Linked DNA regions of Saccharomyces cerevisiae S288C. The protein of the gene in region 3 interacts with the protein of the main gene of each other region in a biochemical or structural test. Each region holds a gene or a part of one and is shown on either strand. Other genes may lie near its edges.

Region 1 (3,831 bases), on a different chromosome or scaffold from region 3:
TCAACATTTTTCCGAGACTCTTGTCGGTGTTACCACCATTCGTGCGTTTGGTGATGAAGGGAGGTTTATGCAAGAGAATTTACACAAAATTGATGAAAATAATAAACCATTCTTCTACTTGTGGGTTGCTAATCGTTGGTTGGCCTTTAGGATAGATATGATTGGATCCTTGGTCATTTTTGGAGCTGGTTTGTTCATTCTATTCAATATTAATAATCTGGATTCGGGTATGGCTGGTATATCTTTGACGTATGCTATTTCCTTCACTGAAGGGGCATTGTGGTTGGTAAGATTGTACTCTGAAGTGGAGATGAATATGAATTCTGTTGAAAGAGTCAAAGAATATATGGAAATTGAGCAAGAGCCATACAACGAACACAAAGAAATACCGCCACCACAATGGCCACAAGACGGTAAAATCGAGGTTAATGATTTATCATTACGGTATGCTCCAAATCTACCTAGAGTAATTAAAAATGTTTCATTTTCTGTCGACGCTCAGTCTAAGATCGGTATTGTTGGTAGAACCGGTGCCGGTAAATCAACTATTATTACCGCCTTGTTCAGATTTTTGGAACCTGAGACAGGCCATATCAAAATTGATAATATCGATATTTCCGGTGTTGATTTACAAAGACTGCGTCGTTCTATAACTATTATTCCACAAGATCCAACACTATTCTCAGGGACGATTAAAACAAACCTAGACCCATATGATGAATTTAGTGACAGACAGATCTTTGAAGCTTTGAAACGTGTAAATCTAATTAGTGAAGAACAATTACAACAAGGCGCCACAAGAGAAACAAGCAATGAGGCTTCGTCGACTAACTCCGAAAATGTTAATAAATTCTTGGATTTAAGTAGTGAAATTAGCGAAGGTGGATCCAATTTGTCTCAAGGACAGCGCCAATTGATGTGCCTTGCTAGATCTTTACTGAGGAGTCCAAAGATCATATTGCTGGACGAAGCTACAGCGTCCATCGACTACAGTTCCGATGCGAAGATCCAAGAAACCATAAGAAAAGAGTTCCAAGGTAGTACAATTTTGACAATTGCACATAGGTTGAGATCTGTTATCGATTATGATAAAATTTTGGTGATGGATGCAGGTGAGGTAAAAGAGTATGATCACCCATATTCTTTGTTACTTAACAAACAAAGTGCCTTTTATAGCATGTGTGAGCATAGTGGAGAATTGGATATCCTAATTGAATTGGCTAAAAAAGCCTTTGTGGAAAAATTGAACTCTAAAAAGGACTAGCTGTTTCGATGCTAAAGTATATATATATATATATATATATATATATATATATATATGTATATACGCACACATGTTCACGTACTATAAATTACCTTTTGTAAATTCAACAGCCTCTTTTTCTGGAACTGGAAGAATCCGTTAACTTCAATATTCCAGTCGATGAAACGGTTTAGAATTGCAATTGACCTCAAAATCATTATGTTGCAGTTATCCACCAACTCGGGTAACTTCTTCAACTGTTTCGTTTCAATATTTGCGTCTTTGAAGGAAATCTGATCCAATGAACTTTTACTGATTTGGCAAAACTCCATATATTGGCTGTTTAGTTCGTCAAATGCACTATATAATGTATAAATATCGTCAAAGCAACTAGCAAAAATACAAATATCATCAGGAGCTCCCACGTTCTCGATGTCTTCAGCCATGAAAGTATTAAAGAGTTGCAGGAGATCTTGAGAATACTTTAGACCCTGGAAATATAGACGATGTAACTGATTGTATAGTTCATCTAATTGCACTGAAACATCGGAATTCGCGCTGTATCCGGCGCCTATAAGCCGCTCCAATCGGTCACACCTGTATTCTAAAGCTTCAACAAGCTTAAGACCAGGCATCAAACTTCCTTTGGTAGAGGCTAATGGCCTTGGAAGCTCGAGAGAACATTCTATAAGTTCATCAATCACTTATACTATATGCAGTACCTCTAAATTACCTAATATCCGGGTAATAAGAACAATATTCGGGTGACGCCGCCCCTGTTTGATGACAAAATTGGAAGAAAAAGAGGAAACAAGAAAAGACTGGTTAGCAACTACGTAAACTTCAGATTTCAAAACATACATAAACAAAAAACTAACAAAAGAAGATGTCTAGATCTGGGTATGCTAAATTTCATTTGTACTCCTGTGTAAACTATCAATTACTAACTAATTGACATGATGCTGTTTTATCTCGCTCTCTTATGTCCTTTCTTTCCTCCCTTTTTAACATGGAACTTTAAAAGGAATGTGGGGGAAAAAATTCATAAGAAGCCAGGAAAATGTGAAGTTTCTGTGTAGTGTTGCTGTTGCTGATGAATCCCTTACCGCTTTCAATGACTTGAAATTGGGTAAAAAATACAAATTTATTTTATTCGGATTGAACGATGCTAAAACCGAAATCGTTGTCAAGGAAACCTCTACTGACCCATCTTACGATGCCTTCTTAGAGAAATTGCCAGAAAACGACTGTCTTTACGCCATTTACGATTTTGAATACGAAATTAATGGTAATGAAGGTAAGAGATCCAAGATTGTTTTCTTCACTTGGTCTCCAGACACTGCTCCAGTCAGATCTAAGATGGTCTATGCATCCTCCAAGGATGCCTTAAGAAGAGCCTTAAACGGTGTCTCTACCGATGTTCAAGGTACTGATTTTTCCGAAGTTTCTTACGATTCTGTTTTGGAAAGAGTCAGCAGAGGCGCTGGTTCTCATTAAGGTAAATGATTTCACAAATGACAACAATCTTCAAGAAAAATGAAAATGTATATCTATATATAAAATCGTCATATATATACAGAATACATGTATAGAATTATTATAATTATAATTTTCTCTTCGCAACTCTATCTAAAACACAATACTTAGATTTAAGGTCCCGTACACCCCGGCTAGTGGGCATTGTTTTTGCACCCATATTTGTAATTCTAAATTCAGAACGGAAATACTGGCCATGTAGATCAAGAAAAGATACAAGGTCATCGAACCAGGCAGCAATGATTTTTCTATAATCTTCTAAAGTGAAGCATGACGACCATAGCTCGTTGAATATGCATAGAACGCTTCTGTTTTTAACGTGGCTGATATCTTTAACAAAGGCTTTTAATATAAAATTACCACACACTGAAAAAAAAGACCATTTGGAATCCAACGCTGTGCTGGCATGCGCATCCTATATAAATACTCTGAAGTGGTCATTTGATAGCTCCGTCGTACCGGGTTTCTATTCTACCATATGCTCTTATTCACCAGCGTTTGATACTTGGTCACTTTGTATCTTCAATTCGCTTACAGACCAGATTATTCCCATGGACAACACAAGTTTCGAAGAAAGCTTGGGTAACGTACGAAAAACGTGCTCGTTTGTCGATAAAAAGTTTAGCAATATTTCACTGGAGCAATACTACTCATCTTTAAATAATGCTTCTTCTCACGCTTTGGAAGACTATGGTTCTATTGAAAGTTTATCGACATCCATTCGAGTCGATCGTGAGACAAGATCTAGATGGATACGAGCTTTTCATGCGCATGCCTATAATTTAGATATCAGCAGTGTTTATGGTGCATATTTAACTTACTACTTCGTCATAGTGGGTATTATCGCCGTCTTCTTCCATATGAGTCACTATAACGGCCTGAATCGAGCGCTATTTGCAAGCCGGTTCGTCAATTATATTCGGGGCCATTTTGTGTTGCCTACGTTTTTAGTAGATAAGCACGCTAATCACTTCAAGTTTCTAAACGTGGAAGTCTTTACGGGACTGATGCCGAATTCCTTGGAGGCATGGATCATTTTTGGATACACATTG
Region 2 (4,903 bases), on a different chromosome or scaffold from region 3:
AAATTGAATCCTGCCAGTAGCCATCGATAACAAAATGTTCAGATTATGTGGAAAGACGCTTTCTGCGTGTATTTAACAACTCAAAGTAAAACCTATCTTAACCTGGTTTTGTTCTATTAGATGCCATTCAACTATGGGGAAGGTATATTTGGATGTTTGTTAGCAATTTTCAGGAAGGCAAGTACTTAATACCGATCAGCTTACTATTGTTTTTGACCTTAGAGCTCTTTTCAACAAAGCTTCGCATTGTGAAAAGCAGACCCAAAACGGCAACTGAGAAAATACGGCACTGTGGAAATAAGTCATGCATCAATCATCAGCTGTAAAAAACCTTTAGAAAAGACATTATACAGATTCTTAGATAGGTATTGATGTTTGGTATTACTATTTTTTGGAGAAATGAGTAAGAATGTTGGTAAGCTAGTGAAAATATGGAATGAATCAGAAGTTTTAGTTGATAGAAAATCGAAATTTCAAGCAAGATGTTGCCCATTACAAAATCAAAAGGATATACCCTCCATACTCCAAGAACTAACGCAAAACAACAAAAGCGTCTCCAAGGCATCCCACATGCACATGTATGCCTGGAGAACGGCCGAGGTATCAAATAATTTGCACTTACAACAAGAGCAGAAAAAGAAGGGCAATAAAGCAAATAAGAGTAATAATAGTCATGTTAACAAGTCAAGGAACATAACGGTGCAGCCAAAGAACATTGAGCAAGGATGTGCTGACTGTGGCGAAGCTGGTGCTGGACAGCGTTTATTGACCTTACTTGAAAGAGCAAACATATTCAACGTCTTGGTAATAGTGACCAGATGGTATGGTGGCACGCCTTTGGGCTCATCAAGATTCAGACACATTTCAACATGTGCAGTGGAAACCTTAAAGAAGGGTGGATTTCTTCCTTAAATATCACCCTTACCATATAATATACACAATTGTAGAATATAATATTGATAAATATATACATATGTAGATAACTATAAAACTTGGCATTTTATTTTCAAATGTATTTGTAAGGGTTTAAAATTCCATTAGGATCATAATGAACCTTCAAATCCTTCATCATCTTGACCTCTTCCGGGCTCTTAGAATAGCCAATGTAATTTTTCTTTTGGAAACCTAGCCCATGTTCGGCACTAACGGAACCATGTTTTGAGGAAACAAACTCGTAGACAAATGGTTCCAAAGTCTTTTCAATGTTCTTGTTGTACTCTCTAACTGCAACATTTAAGTGTAGATTACCATCACCCACGTGACCGTATCCAATGGCGCCCACCACTGGTTTGGGCGAATCACCCACTAATTCAGCTTCAGAAAGTCTTGCATTAGTGGCTTCAACCAAAGAATATAGGTCCTTTAGTGGTAAAGAAACATCGTATTTGTAAACACCACCATTAGCTTGACTTGCCTCTGGAATCATTTCTCTCCACTTCCACAAGTTTTGGAGTTCGGTTTCATCTTGTGCCACTACACCATCCGTTACTATGCCCTCTTCCATGACGTTTTCTAAAAATGTTTCAAGTTTGGAATCATCGTGATCTTTGTTTGACCCTGACGTTTCGATAAGAATATAAAATGGATGCTCATCCTCCAAAGGGAAGGCAGCATCCTTCAATTGGCTCTTGGCCAATACTTGAGATTTAGCATCCATAAATTCAAAAGCGGATAAAATCTCAGATAATTCTTGCCTGGCTCTGACGAAGACTTTTTGAACGTCTTCAAAACTTTCAACAGACAAGTAAGATACATTAAACGCTTTTGGCTTAGGAACAGTCAAGATTGAAACACCAGTGATGATACCGATAGTACCTTCTGAGCCAATGAACAGCTGTTTCAGATCATAACCGGTGTTGTCTTTTCTCATGGAATGCATGCTATTAACAATTTGACCATTGGGCATTACCACCTCTAAGCCTAAAACGCTTCCATGTAGTGAGCCATAACGCAATAACCTTAGTCCTCCAGCGTTGGTTGCAACCACGCCACCAACATGGCAGGAACCTTTAGCTCCCAGATCCAACGGAAACATATAATTTTGTTCCATTACGTAATTGTTAGCATTTTCCAAGATTACACCAGCATCACACTTCAAGATACCTGATACAGGGTCAAAATCTCTTATTTTGTTTAAATTTGCTAAAGATAGAATTAATTCATCAAAAATGGGCACAGAACCACCTACCAACCCCGTGTTACCGCCTTGTGGGACAACGGCAATTTTTTCATCATTACAATAATTTAAGATTAAAGAAACTTTTTCCACTGACTTAGGTCTCAATACTAACTTGGACTGTCCTTTGTACTTTCTCATCCAATCTTCATTATAAAATGAAAGATCCTCTGATTCGCTGGCTCTTAATATTTCTTGTTCCGATAAAATAGATTTAAAATAATTTAGATCATCGGACGTTAATTTTTTGAATCTAGGGTCTCGATGCACGTCTGGATAGTTTTCGCTAGTCAGTCTGGTTTGTATCTTGGTCGAATAATAGTTAACTCTTCTATAGTATCCTAAAAGAGCTGATGATTTCATATATCTGCCAGCAAATTTGAAATTGCTGCCAGTACTTCTCACCAAAATGTTTCTTAGCATCTTGTTATATGCCACTTGTAGTGCTGGATTAATGTCTGTAAAATAAAGAGAAGAAGTTGTCAATGCATTTATTACCACTTTTTCAGAGTCAGATAGATTTTGAATTATATAACCTGTCAAAATGAAAAAAACTCGGCCGATATTCCTCGAGAAACAAGACGAATGCCAAGAGTATTCATTATTAGATATTTGTTTATGTAGTATGGTGTTTTTTTAGTAGCCTAGAAACGATGGTTATTCATATTGTACAAAGTTAAGACAACTAAAGAACGGAAAAGAATATTTATAGAGCTTGTAAAAGGCGAGTAACTTAGAATTATTGCTTGAAAAACGATGACCAGCCCCTCCTTGTAAAATTTAACCGTTGGTGAATTGTGGGCTTATGCGACATTACTGGTGAACTTCCCATTGTTACATCAATATGGTTTACTGAGTGTATGTTTTCCTCTGCCCTGAAATTATTACAGATATCGTTATTATTCCTTAACGGCACATGATTTTTTTTGTTGAAGTTGTCAGATTCCACCAACGGTAGGGACGGTTGGTATTTTGCCAGTAGAGAAGACCTTGAGTCTGTTGTCGAAACTGTTGCCATGGATGTCAGTGAAGGAACCGATATAGCAGAAGAAGTTCTAGAATGCGAAACCGGTCTTCTATGATTTATATATTCTTTCAGTTGGCCGGGACTTGGTGCATTGAACAACAGCATTTCTTGTCTCCTTTGTAAAAATAGTTGTTCCTTGATAGGCCCGAGGAAGTAAGAAAGAGAATCAATCAAATCCGGTGTAGTTATCCTCACATCCCAATTTAAATATTCTAATAGTTCTCGTTCGATGGTATTCACCTCACGTATTCTGAGTAAACCTTCTGTGTACGTGGTCCAGTGTTTGTTCCAGGGAGAAGAATCGTTCAGAGTTTTGGCAGCTAATATCAAGCATCCGAGAAATATCCGATGTCTTGTGGTGTTAATACCGTACACATTTTTTGGTATTACGCTTTTCAGTTTGTTTAAATAAACTGATGTGGCCATTAAAGTTGGTGTTTGAACATTTGACTGAATTACCACGTTTTTAATGAAGATAGATAAGTCTGGTGGGCGACATCCTTGGATTGGATTATTATTTTCCCTGATTTTAATTATGGAAGCAGTAGAAGTGGCTAAGAACTGAATCATTTCTTGCGAAACAGGTTTTTTGTTGAATTGCAAAAGAGCATCGTAGTCAGAAATCATCTCTTTGTGCGTATTTCTTCAGAATTAATAATGCTGTTACCGAAACAAGTTTTCTTGTCCTTTCTTTGCGTATATCCACTTAAATATATGTTATTAGAGATCTATGAATGTCGATGCACTCTTCTACTGACCGCAAGCTGCCCAAATGCTTAAATACAGAAGCAAAGAGACACATATTTACCACGTTGCATGAATGTCCAAACTCACTGCACCGTTAAACAGAATTATAATAAGCAAGGCTTGACTACTTGTCCCTTGTAAGATTATCTACTTGAGCTGGTTTTTTTTTAGTGCAGCAATAAAAAAAAAAATTAGTGACGCTGGTTTCCGCGCAGCGCTAATTTAAGAATTTTCAATATTGCCAACAAATTTTATCTTGGCAGTTATGAATGGAGGCCAAATTGTAGCATACAGTGTGAGCTCCATATTGCCAACAAATTTTATCTTGGCAGTTATGAATGGAGGCCAAATTGTAGCATACAGTGTGAGCTCCATATTGAATGATGCATGATCTATTTTCTTTTGGACAAATTTCTACCTTGCATAACCTTTGATTGATGAACCACTGATGTAGTTAAACTTTTAAAGTAGGGTTAAAATGTCCCTTTAATATATTTTTATAATTACTTACAGATTGTTGTTCTTATGTAAATTTTATTATTAAGCTCCACCTCCCCTAAAGTAAAATGGATAACATAAAGATTTTTCAAGATATGAACACCCTAATATGTGCACGGTCGTTACTTATATGCTATATATAAACTGTTGAAAGTATTCCCGTTACAAAAACAAGAAGACTCCAAGAAACCATTACTCCAAGTACAAAAGAATCATTTCTTGCCAAAGCCCTCCAATTTTTGACTAGCTTCTTGCAGAATCTTAGTAAAGCGGAGTCGTTGGTCATATCATCATCATCCCCATTTAAACTACCATAATATAACGTCGTATTACCTAACAACTGGCCTGAATTCATCCCGAAGTGACCCGGGCTGCTATTTATTACATCAGGACTATCCATCGAAATGTAATTAGCACTCAGTGGATGTTGGTACTCTTGATTTGTAGCTACTCTC
Region 3 (4,359 bases):
TTTTGCGTTCCGTATAGCGTGGTGCATAGGAATCATTCCTGGATTACTGTTCTGGATGGCTAGCTACGCTCTACCTGAATCTTATCACTGGCTAGTACTACATGGGAAGATGAGTGAAGCTCAGGAAATTCAGCACAATTTAGCCAAAAAGTTTAATGAAAGCCAGCCAAGGGATGCAGTCCCTGAGATGAGTAAGATCGAATTAGCAGGAGATTTTTGGATTGGAGTTAATGATTTGGACTTCTCCAAAAAATTACCTCGGGGTTCGTTTAAGCCTTTGATTCTTGGAATGACTTTACAGTTATTGGTTCAATTTAGCGGTATAAACATTATCCTTGGTTATATTACATACATTTGCGAGATTGTAGGGCTTGAAGGCAATGTAAAACTATTCACCAGTTCCATTCCATATTTCATCAACATGGTTTTGAGCTTGTTACCGATTACATTCATTGATTACACTAGCAGAAAGCTAATTACCTTGTTGGGTGGCTTTCCCATTAGTGGGTTGCTCATTACAATCGGCGCATTATTTGTGAAGTATGGTCAAGACACCAAGCCCATCGACGGCAATAGGAGTTTAGTTTGGTCAATTGGAGAAAACCCGTTTGTGGGAGGATGGATTCTAACTTTATGCTTTCTAATTGTTGGAATATTTGCCATGAGCCTTTCCAGTATACCTTGGGTTTACACGAATGAAATGTTGCCCTCACGAGTGAAAGTTAAGGGATTTGCCATTTGCGTAACGTTTGGATGGTTGGGCAATTTTATTTTAACGTTTCTATGCCCTGTGATGATTGAAAGATTAAAAGGCACAACATTTATAATATTTGGATCTTTGACATTCTTGATATCACTTTCAGTTTTGATTTGGTTCCCAGAAACAAAGGGTATGAGCATAGAAGATATTGATAAATTCTTCGAATTTGAGAGTAAAGAGGGCACCAATTTACATGGGGAAAAGGGTATCAAAACGCCGGACTCAAATTCTAATGGCGGTTCTACAAGATCCTCCCAAGAAGGGCAATTGCATAAACCTATAAAACTGAAAAGCGATGAAGAGATGATCATATGATACACGGTCCAATGGATAAACATTTTTTATCAACACTATGATATATAAATATAATAGTTTTTCGTATATATATTCCTTTTTTTGGTCAATTTTTGAAATTTTCGTAGAAAAGGGAGAGACAAAACACATTATATCAATGAAAACGTACAAAAAGTAGATAAAGTCAGTGCTTAAACACGTCTTTTCCTTAAAAATACTTTATTATTTTTATTTTATTGAGAGGGTGGTTTAAAAATAGAAATAGAGAGAGAGGTACATACATAAACATACGCGCACAAAAGCAGAGATTAGAAACACTTGTGGTGAACGATAGATGGACCACTTTCGTCGTATTCTTGTTTTGAGATCCACATTTGTTGGAAGGTAGTCAAAGAAGCCAAGATAGAACCACCAATCCAGACGGAGTACTTTCTTTCTGGAGGAGCAATGATCTTGACCTTCATGGAAGATGGAGCCAAAGCGGTGATTTCCTTTTGCATTCTTTCGGCAATACCTGGGAACATGGTGGTACCACCGGACATAACGATGTTACCGTATAATTCCTTACGGACATCGACATCACACTTCATGATGGAGTTGTAAGTAGTTTGGTCAATACCGGCAGATTCCAAACCCAAAACAGAAGGATGGAACAAAGCTTCTGGGGCTCTGAATCTTTCGTTACCAATAGTGATGACTTGACCATCTGGAAGTTCGTAGGATTTTTCAATTGAAGAAGATTGAGCAGCGGTTTGCATTTCTTGTTCGAAGTCCAAGGCGACGTAACATAGTTTTTCCTTGATGTCACGGACAATTTCTCTTTCAGCAGTGGTGGAGAAAGAGTAACCACGTTCACTCAAGATCTTCATCAAGTAGTCAGTCAAATCTCTACCGGCCAAATCGATTCTCAAAATGGCGTGAGGTAGAGAGAAACCAGCGTAAATTGGAACGACGTGAGTAACACCATCACCGGAATCCAAAACAATACCAGTAGTTCTACCGGAAGAGTACAAGGACAAAACGGCTTGGATGGAAACGTAGAAGGCTGGAACGTTGAAAGTTTCAAACATAATTTGAGTCATCTTTTCTCTGTTTGATTTAGGGTTCATTGGAGCTTCAGTCAAAAGAACAGGGTGTTCTTCTGGGGCAACTCTCAATTCGTTGTAGAAGGTATGATGCCAGATCTTTTCCATATCGTCCCAGTTGGTGACAATACCGTGTTCAATTGGGTAACGTAAAGTCAAGATACCTCTCTTGGATTGAGCTTCATCACCAACGTAGGAGTCTTTTTGACCCATACCGACCATGATACCTTGGTGTCTTGGTCTACCGACGATAGATGGGAAGACAGCACGAGGAGCGTCGTCACCGGCAAAACCGGCTTTACACATACCAGAACCGTTATCAATAACCAAAGCAGCAACCTCTAAACATATAATATAGCAACAAAAAGAATGAAGCAATCGATGTTAGTACATGAGACTTAGTAACAGTAGCAAATAAAAGAAGAATATCACTATCACTTATCACGAAAATATTTCAGTTTTTTTTTTTTTTCCAAATTTCAAGCCCCTATTTATTCCAATAATATCGTGGTTATTACAGATCAGTCAATATAGGAGGTTATGGGAGAGTGAAAAATAGTAAAAAAAGGTAAAAGAGAAATCTCTCGAGCAATTGGGACCGTGCAATTCTTCTTACAGTTAAATGGGATGGTGCAAGCGCTAGAACATACCAGAATCCATTGTTAATTCAGTAAATTTTCGATCTTGGGAAGAAAAAAGCAGTAAGCGTGAAAAATCTAAAAGCTGATGTAGTAGAAGATCCTATTCTTTAACAAAGATTGACCTTTTCTTTTTCTTCTTGGTTTGAGTAGAAAGGGGAAGGAAGAATACAAGAGAGAGGAAAAAAAGGAAGATAAAAAGAGAGCGTGATATAAATGAATATATATTAAACAAGAGAGATTGGGAAGGAAAGGATCAAACAAACCCAAAAATATTTCAAAAAGGAGAGAGAGAGGCGAGTTTGGTTTCAAAACGGTTTATTTATTTATGCAAGAGGACGTGGAAGAAAAAGAAGAAGGAAGAAAAAAATTTGAAAGAAAAAAACGCGTGGCGGGTAAAGAAGAAAATGGAAAATAGAGGCCGGGTGACAGAGAAATATTGAGGGTTAATTGGAAAATATGTTAGGGTGAGGCATATGTTTTTAAGGGTTTTGAGGATCCGATAAGGAAGAATGTAGGTTAAATGTTGTGCATTAATTGCTGTGGCAGCTTACCCGCTTCCCCACACATTTTGGTAGTATCTGTCCTCTTGTTATTGTTACTGTAATTGTGTATATATGTTCTCGCGTGTGTCTTATTTACTTATTTAGTTATTATATTATATGGGTCTGCAAGGTAGAGGCGCGCTTGTTCAACAGCAGCCCCCACCGGTGTTGGTTAAACTCTGTCCCTTCAGGTTGACGTTCCCTTTGTCTTCCTTCTTCTGAGTGGTTTCGTTCAGGTTTTGTTGGGACATACTTTCCTTGATTTGTCTAGCCATGGTTAAAAACGCATCCTCGACGTTGGTGGAGTCCAAAGCACTAGTCTCTAAGAACGGCATCTTATTCGCGTCCGCAAATTCCTTTGCCACGTCATATTCCACGACACGCTTGTCCTTTAAATCACACTTGTTACCTACCAATAGCTTCAACACTGTTGAGGTTGCATACCGATCAATCTCTTGCAGCCACATCTTCACGCCGTTGAAGGATTCTTGGTCAGTGACATCATACACGATAATGATCCCATGCGAACCACGGTAGTAAGATGAAGTGATAGTACGGAAACGTTCTTGACCTGCAGTGTCCCAAATCTGTAGCTTTACAGTCTTGCCGTCCAGTTCTACAGTCTTAATCTTGAAGTCCACTCCAATTGTGGAGATGTAGTCGTTGGTATATGTGTCGTCCGAAAACCTCAAAAGTAAACAGGACTTCCCGACACCGGAATTCCCGATCAACAGCAGTTTGAACAGGTAATCGTACTCGCTATTCATATTAGTGCTTTTCTTGTTTTATTTATTTCAACCTGGGCCTAACAGTAAAGATATCCTCCTCAAAACTGGTGCACTTAATCGCTGAATTTGTTCTGGCTTCTCTTCTTTTTCTTTATTCCCCCCATGGGCCAAAAAAAATAGTACTATCAGGAATTTGGCGCCGGGTCACGATATACGTGTACAGTGACCTAGGCGACGCCACAAGGAAAAAGGAAAAAAACAGAAAAAACAACAAAAACTAAAACAAACACGAAAACTTTAATAGATCTA
Region 4 (4,763 bases), on a different chromosome or scaffold from region 3:
ATGGTAGGCAAGATCCTAAAAAACCCTTTTTCACACCATGGAAGCCAAGACCATTTTTATCGCCTTTCGCCATTTTACCTCATCATTTGGAAATATCTTTCAAGACATGCCACGCTGTATACCTAAGGGATCCCGTCGCTCGACCAGGCCAATCCGAAGTAATTTCACCATTTGATGTTCCTGTTCATGAACGTGCATATATGTATTACTTGAGAAATGGTAAATGATCGTCGTGTATTGTTGCACGCGTCTTTTGACTGATCTTCAGCCTCTCTTTACACTGTAAATATTTAATTTTTTTTGTTTTTAAGTTCTACTCGAACGATCAAGTAGTCACTTAGTCGCTCCTCGTTTTCCTGTTACTTCTTTAAGAAAAGGTTACACATGAAAAAAAGGTTTTACAAAAAGTATATAATTGTTTATTCATTCACTTTTCTTTCTGATTGATTCAAATGTGATTTATTTCTTTTAACTAAATACAATTAATGCTCCTCGCAATATTAACCAGCATGTTCGAAAACAGCAGATTTGAACTTACCATCAGCGAAGCTATGCTTCATCTGTTCAGGGATTGGGAATTCTACGTAATCATCGTCCTCGCCGATTGGTAAGTTGACGTTAATAGCAGTTGAGCACGAGGTGTAGATTTCAGTATTCAAGGATTCCTTGGATAAATAGATGTTACCGCCGTCAGATTTATCAATGGAGATTTGAGGTAGGGAATGGTTAACTTGAATGCCAAACTTGTTGGATTTGATGACATCCATACCGGAAATGCTAGAATCAAGAACAACACTGCATGACTCAGTTTCACTCAACGAGATAGCGTTAACTTTTCCTTTTATTTGAACAAGAACTTGAGAACATTTACCTATGAAGATAGACTCATCTTTATTTGCATCAATAACCAGAGATTCAGTTTCATTTTCGTAATTCTCAATAAACCATTTGTTTCCTACCAATTCCTTTCTAGGAGGCCTCTTAGTTTTCAATGTTGATGGCTTTTTTGGCCTTGGTGGTGGACCGGATTTACTTCCTGTGGAAGAAACTGTAGAGGATTGACGTAATTCAGGATTTTTGTGAGTTTGTTGGGATTTGTCTACTTTTTTCAAACCCTTAGTGATATTTTCACCCTGATTTAGTTCGGCGAAGACCGCGCCAATACCGCCTTTGTTAGCATCACTACTCGTTGCTGGTGTATCATTAGAGATTTCAAAGACGGAAGCTGGTGGGGCTGGTGGAGGAGGTGGTGGTGCTGGAGCCGCTGTAGCACTTGCTGGCGAAGGAGATGAAGTAGCACCTGTATTCTTCGTTGATTGTGCCATCGCGTCAGCAAAATCCATACCGTCTTTTTTCCAGGAAACCCCAGTAGTATGATACTCTTTAATGTAGGCTTTCAAATTATCGAAAGAGGCCAAAAATTTCTTAACCCATTCAACAGCATTAGGATCAGACTCTCTGTATTCTTTCAAAATTCTATTAGTCCAAAACTGTGCTGCGTCCTTGAAATCTGTGACCATAGACACGGGAGTGTCCACTGCAACCCAGGAGAACAAAGGAGCACCCTCAGATAAAGCGCTCAAATATGCGAAGTATTTGCTTTGACGGTTTGATTCCTTCAATTGACCCAGCTTTATAATATTTTCGTTGATAGGTCTTAAAGAATCAGCGAAAGTTTGAGAAGAATAATCCGGTTTTCTTGATCTCACAGCAGCTCTTAAAAAAGTCAATTGCGATTGAAAGCCTCCCTTTAGCAACTGCAAAGCATCTAAGACCACCGTGTCGATCTTTCCTGATAATTCTACCAGCGGATCAATATTCTCACCGATGTAAGATTGGAACGCAGTTATGCATTTCGGATCTTGTTCTACTTCAGGAGCATTTTCTGCAGAAGGTTCATTCGTAGTATTCGCATCGGCCCCGGAGTCGGAAGGCTTGTTATTTTTAGATGCCTCCAATTTATTCTGAATATAACCTTCTTGATAGATGGTGACATCCTCTAATCTTGCAGTGGCTTCTTCTAGCCTTTTTAATAGCTTAACAAGGTTATAACCTTGCATTGTGTACTTAGAGTCAGGCATGATTCGATTTCACACGGTTGCAACTTGGCCTACTCAATTACGAAAAGTTTCAAGCTGAGTTTTCCCCTATACTACCAAAAGATTTCACTTCTAAATCCCTGTTTATGACTTCACGCGACATGTATAGATCATTTTAAACGATATGAATTGTATACTGTCCCAACATTTTATATCTTTATATAAACATCAAGGTTAATAATGTTCGACAGTTACTAGAATCAATGCCTAAAAGGTTACTGACTGAGTGTGATCTCTACCATAAATCTTGAGAACGACATACGAGGCGTAATTTTATGTAAAAATTATTTATGGATGTGGCTTCAACGTCCTACCTCTCTTCTCGTAAGTAGGCTTTATAGCCAGGGGACATGGATTTCAGGAGGTGAATACGAGTGTCACGTATACTAAGGTCTCCTCGGCTCAATGAAACGTACTCCAAAGATGCGGAGTGGCCTTGTAATGTATTTAGTGTATCGTTTCTCACATTTCTCTGCCACTGTTCTCGTGTAGTGCTCTCATCTCCCAGTCCGATGTACTTTTGTTTGTATATCTTCTGCAACTTCAACTGCCTCTGCTTTTCCGCCTGTTTTGAGTATTAGCATTACGTATAAGCCGCACGGACTTGCACGATTCATCGCAAGCGTAGTTAGTACCATGGTAAAGATGATTTCAATTCAAACTAAAGCGCAATAGAACGTAACATACCATTTCTTTTCTTAATTTCACTGTTTCGAATTGTGTAATATAACCATTTTAGCCACTATTTACATGTTCTGAATGAGAAGGCTTATGTTCTTCTCTTCTTCCCGGGTGACAACGCTAACTTCGGCGTAAGATTTTCCGCTATTTCTTCAATAGCGACATAACGTATGAGAGTTTATGCCCAGGGAACACGTTGATTTAGAAGCAAACACTGTTGCATAAATTATAGGGCTGTGATTTTATCGTCTTTATCTAAAGCATAATAGGGTGAAACGGTTTCAGTTGATACATATTCGCACCAGTATACATTTTCAGGACTTTATGGCAGAACAGACGCTACTTTCCAAATTGAACGCTCTTTCTCAAAAAGTGATACCACCAGCTTCCCCTAGTCAGGCAAGCATTTTAACGGAAGAGGTGATACGAAACTGGCCTGAACGATCAAAAACTCTCTGCTCCGATTTCACTGCACTGGAGTCAAATGATGAAAAGGAAGACTGGTTGAGGACTTTGTTTATTGAACTGTTTGATTTCATAAATAAAAACGATGAAAATTCTCCCCTCAAGCTTTCTGATGTTGCATCATTTACTAATGAATTAGTGAATCATGAAAGGCAAGTGTCCCAGGCTTCCATAGTTGGTAAAATGTTTATCGCCGTCTCAAGCACTGTTCCAAATATAAATGATCTAACAACCATATCATTATGTAAACTAATACCGTCGTTGCATGAAGAATTGTTCAAATTTAGTTGGATATCCTCTAAGCTGCTCAACAAGGAACAAACCACCTTATTAAGGCATTTGTTAAAAAAGTCAAAATACGAACTGAAGAAATATAACCTTTTGGTAGAAAATTCAGTGGGTTATGGTCAATTGGTAGCCTTATTAATATTGGCGTATTATGATCCCGACAATTTTTCCAAAGTGTCCGCATATTTGAAAGAAATCTATCATATTATGGGGAAATATTCCTTGGATTCTATTCGTACTTTAGATGTTATTTTGAACGTTTCTAGTCAGTTTATCACTGAAGGGTACAAGTTCTTTATTGCTCTTTTACGAAAGTCGGATTCTTGGCCATCTAGCCATGTAGCTAACAATTCCAATTATTCTTCTCTTAATGAAGGCGGTAATATGATTGCAGCAAACATTATTTCATTCAATTTATCGCAATATAACGAAGAAGTCGATAAGGAAAACTATGAACGGTATATGGATATGTGTTGCATTTTACTGAAAAATGGGTTTGTCAATTTTTATTCTATTTGGGATAACGTTAAACCAGAGATGGAATTTCTACAAGAATATATTCAAAACTTAGAAACTGAACTGGAAGAGGAGTCCACTAAAGGCGTAGAAAATCCCTTGGCTATGGCAGCTGCTTTGTCCACTGAAAATGAAACTGACGAAGACAACGCCCTTGTTGTAAATGATGATGTTAATATGAAGGATAAAATCTCTGAGGAAACAAACGCTGATATAGAATCAAAAGGCAAGCAGAAAACTCAGCAAGATATTTTATTATTTGGTAAAATAAAACTCTTGGAACGCTTACTCATACATGGTTGCGTTATTCCCGTGATACATGTGTTAAAGCAATATCCGAAAGTGTTATATGTTAGTGAATCCTTATCTAGATATTTGGGAAGAGTATTTGAATATCTTTTAAATCCATTGTACACATCAATGACCTCATCTGGTGAATCAAAAGATATGGCAACTGCTTTGATGATAACCCGTATAGATAATGGTATTCTAGCCCATAAGCCAAGGTTGATCCATAAATATAAAACTCACGAGCCATTTGAATCCCTTGAATTGAATTCAAGCTACGTCTTCTATTACAGCGAGTGGAATTCCAATTTGACTCCTTTTGCTTCTGTAAATGATCTATTTGAAAACTCGCATATCTATTTATCTATCATAGGACCGTATTTGGGGAGAATTCCTACGCTTTTGAGTAAGATTTCACGTATTGGG

Evidence for each region.
Region 1: the proteins of ACT1 (region 3) and COF1 form a complex in vitro, tested with the Saccharomyces cerevisiae proteins (12 studies listed by BioGRID, with this or other methods).
Region 2: the proteins of ACT1 (region 3) and DLD2 form a complex in vitro, tested with the Saccharomyces cerevisiae proteins (3 studies listed by BioGRID).
Region 4: the proteins of ACT1 (region 3) and SRV2 form a complex in vitro, tested with the Saccharomyces cerevisiae proteins (5 studies listed by BioGRID).

What each region holds. Positions count from the first base shown.
Region 1 is NC_001144.5:38,713-42,543, reverse strand, and holds COF1 (cofilin), read left to right. Parts: upstream 1-2,129; coding exon 2,130-2,143; intron 2,144-2,322; coding exon 2,323-2,740; downstream 2,741-3,831. Other genes in the region: bile acid-transporting ATPase YBT1, read left to right, coding at 1-1,264; LDB18 (Ldb18p), read right to left, coding at 1,339-1,878; FRE6 (putative ferric-chelate reductase), read left to right, coding at 3,073-3,831. UniProt on the Saccharomyces cerevisiae protein: Controls reversibly actin polymerization and depolymerization in a pH-sensitive manner. It has the ability to bind G- and F-actin in a 1:1 ratio of cofilin to actin. Binding to F-actin is regulated by tropomyosin.
Region 2 is NC_001136.10:137,218-142,120, reverse strand, and holds DLD2 (D-lactate dehydrogenase), read right to left. Parts: upstream 2,600-4,903; coding exon 1,007-2,599; downstream 1-1,006. Other genes in the region: GID12 (Gid12p), read right to left, coding at 1-24; YDL177C (uncharacterized protein), read left to right, coding at 400-912; PCL9 (Pcl9p), read right to left, coding at 2,916-3,830; AIT1 (Ait1p), read right to left, coding at 4,582-4,903.
Region 3 is NC_001138.5:51,898-56,256, forward strand, and holds ACT1 (actin), read right to left. Parts: upstream 2,800-4,359; coding exon 2,790-2,799; intron 2,481-2,789; coding exon 1,363-2,480; downstream 1-1,362. Other genes in the region: YFL040W (uncharacterized protein), read left to right, coding at 1-1,075; Rab family GTPase YPT1, read right to left, coding at 3,469-4,089. UniProt on the Saccharomyces cerevisiae protein: Actins are highly conserved proteins that are involved in various types of cell motility and are ubiquitously expressed in all eukaryotic cells.
Region 4 is NC_001146.8:364,059-368,821, reverse strand, and holds SRV2 (adenylate cyclase-binding protein), read right to left. Parts: upstream 2,082-4,763; coding exon 501-2,081; downstream 1-500. Other genes in the region: mitochondrial 37S ribosomal protein uS4m NAM9, read left to right, coding at 1-227; U2 snRNP complex subunit YSF3, read right to left, coding at 2,410-2,664, 2,787-2,789; THO2 (Tho2p), read left to right, coding at 3,105-4,763. UniProt on the Saccharomyces cerevisiae protein: The N-terminal domain binds to adenylyl cyclase, thereby enabling adenylyl cyclase to be activated by upstream regulatory signals, such as Ras. The C-terminal domain is required for normal cellular morphology and growth control.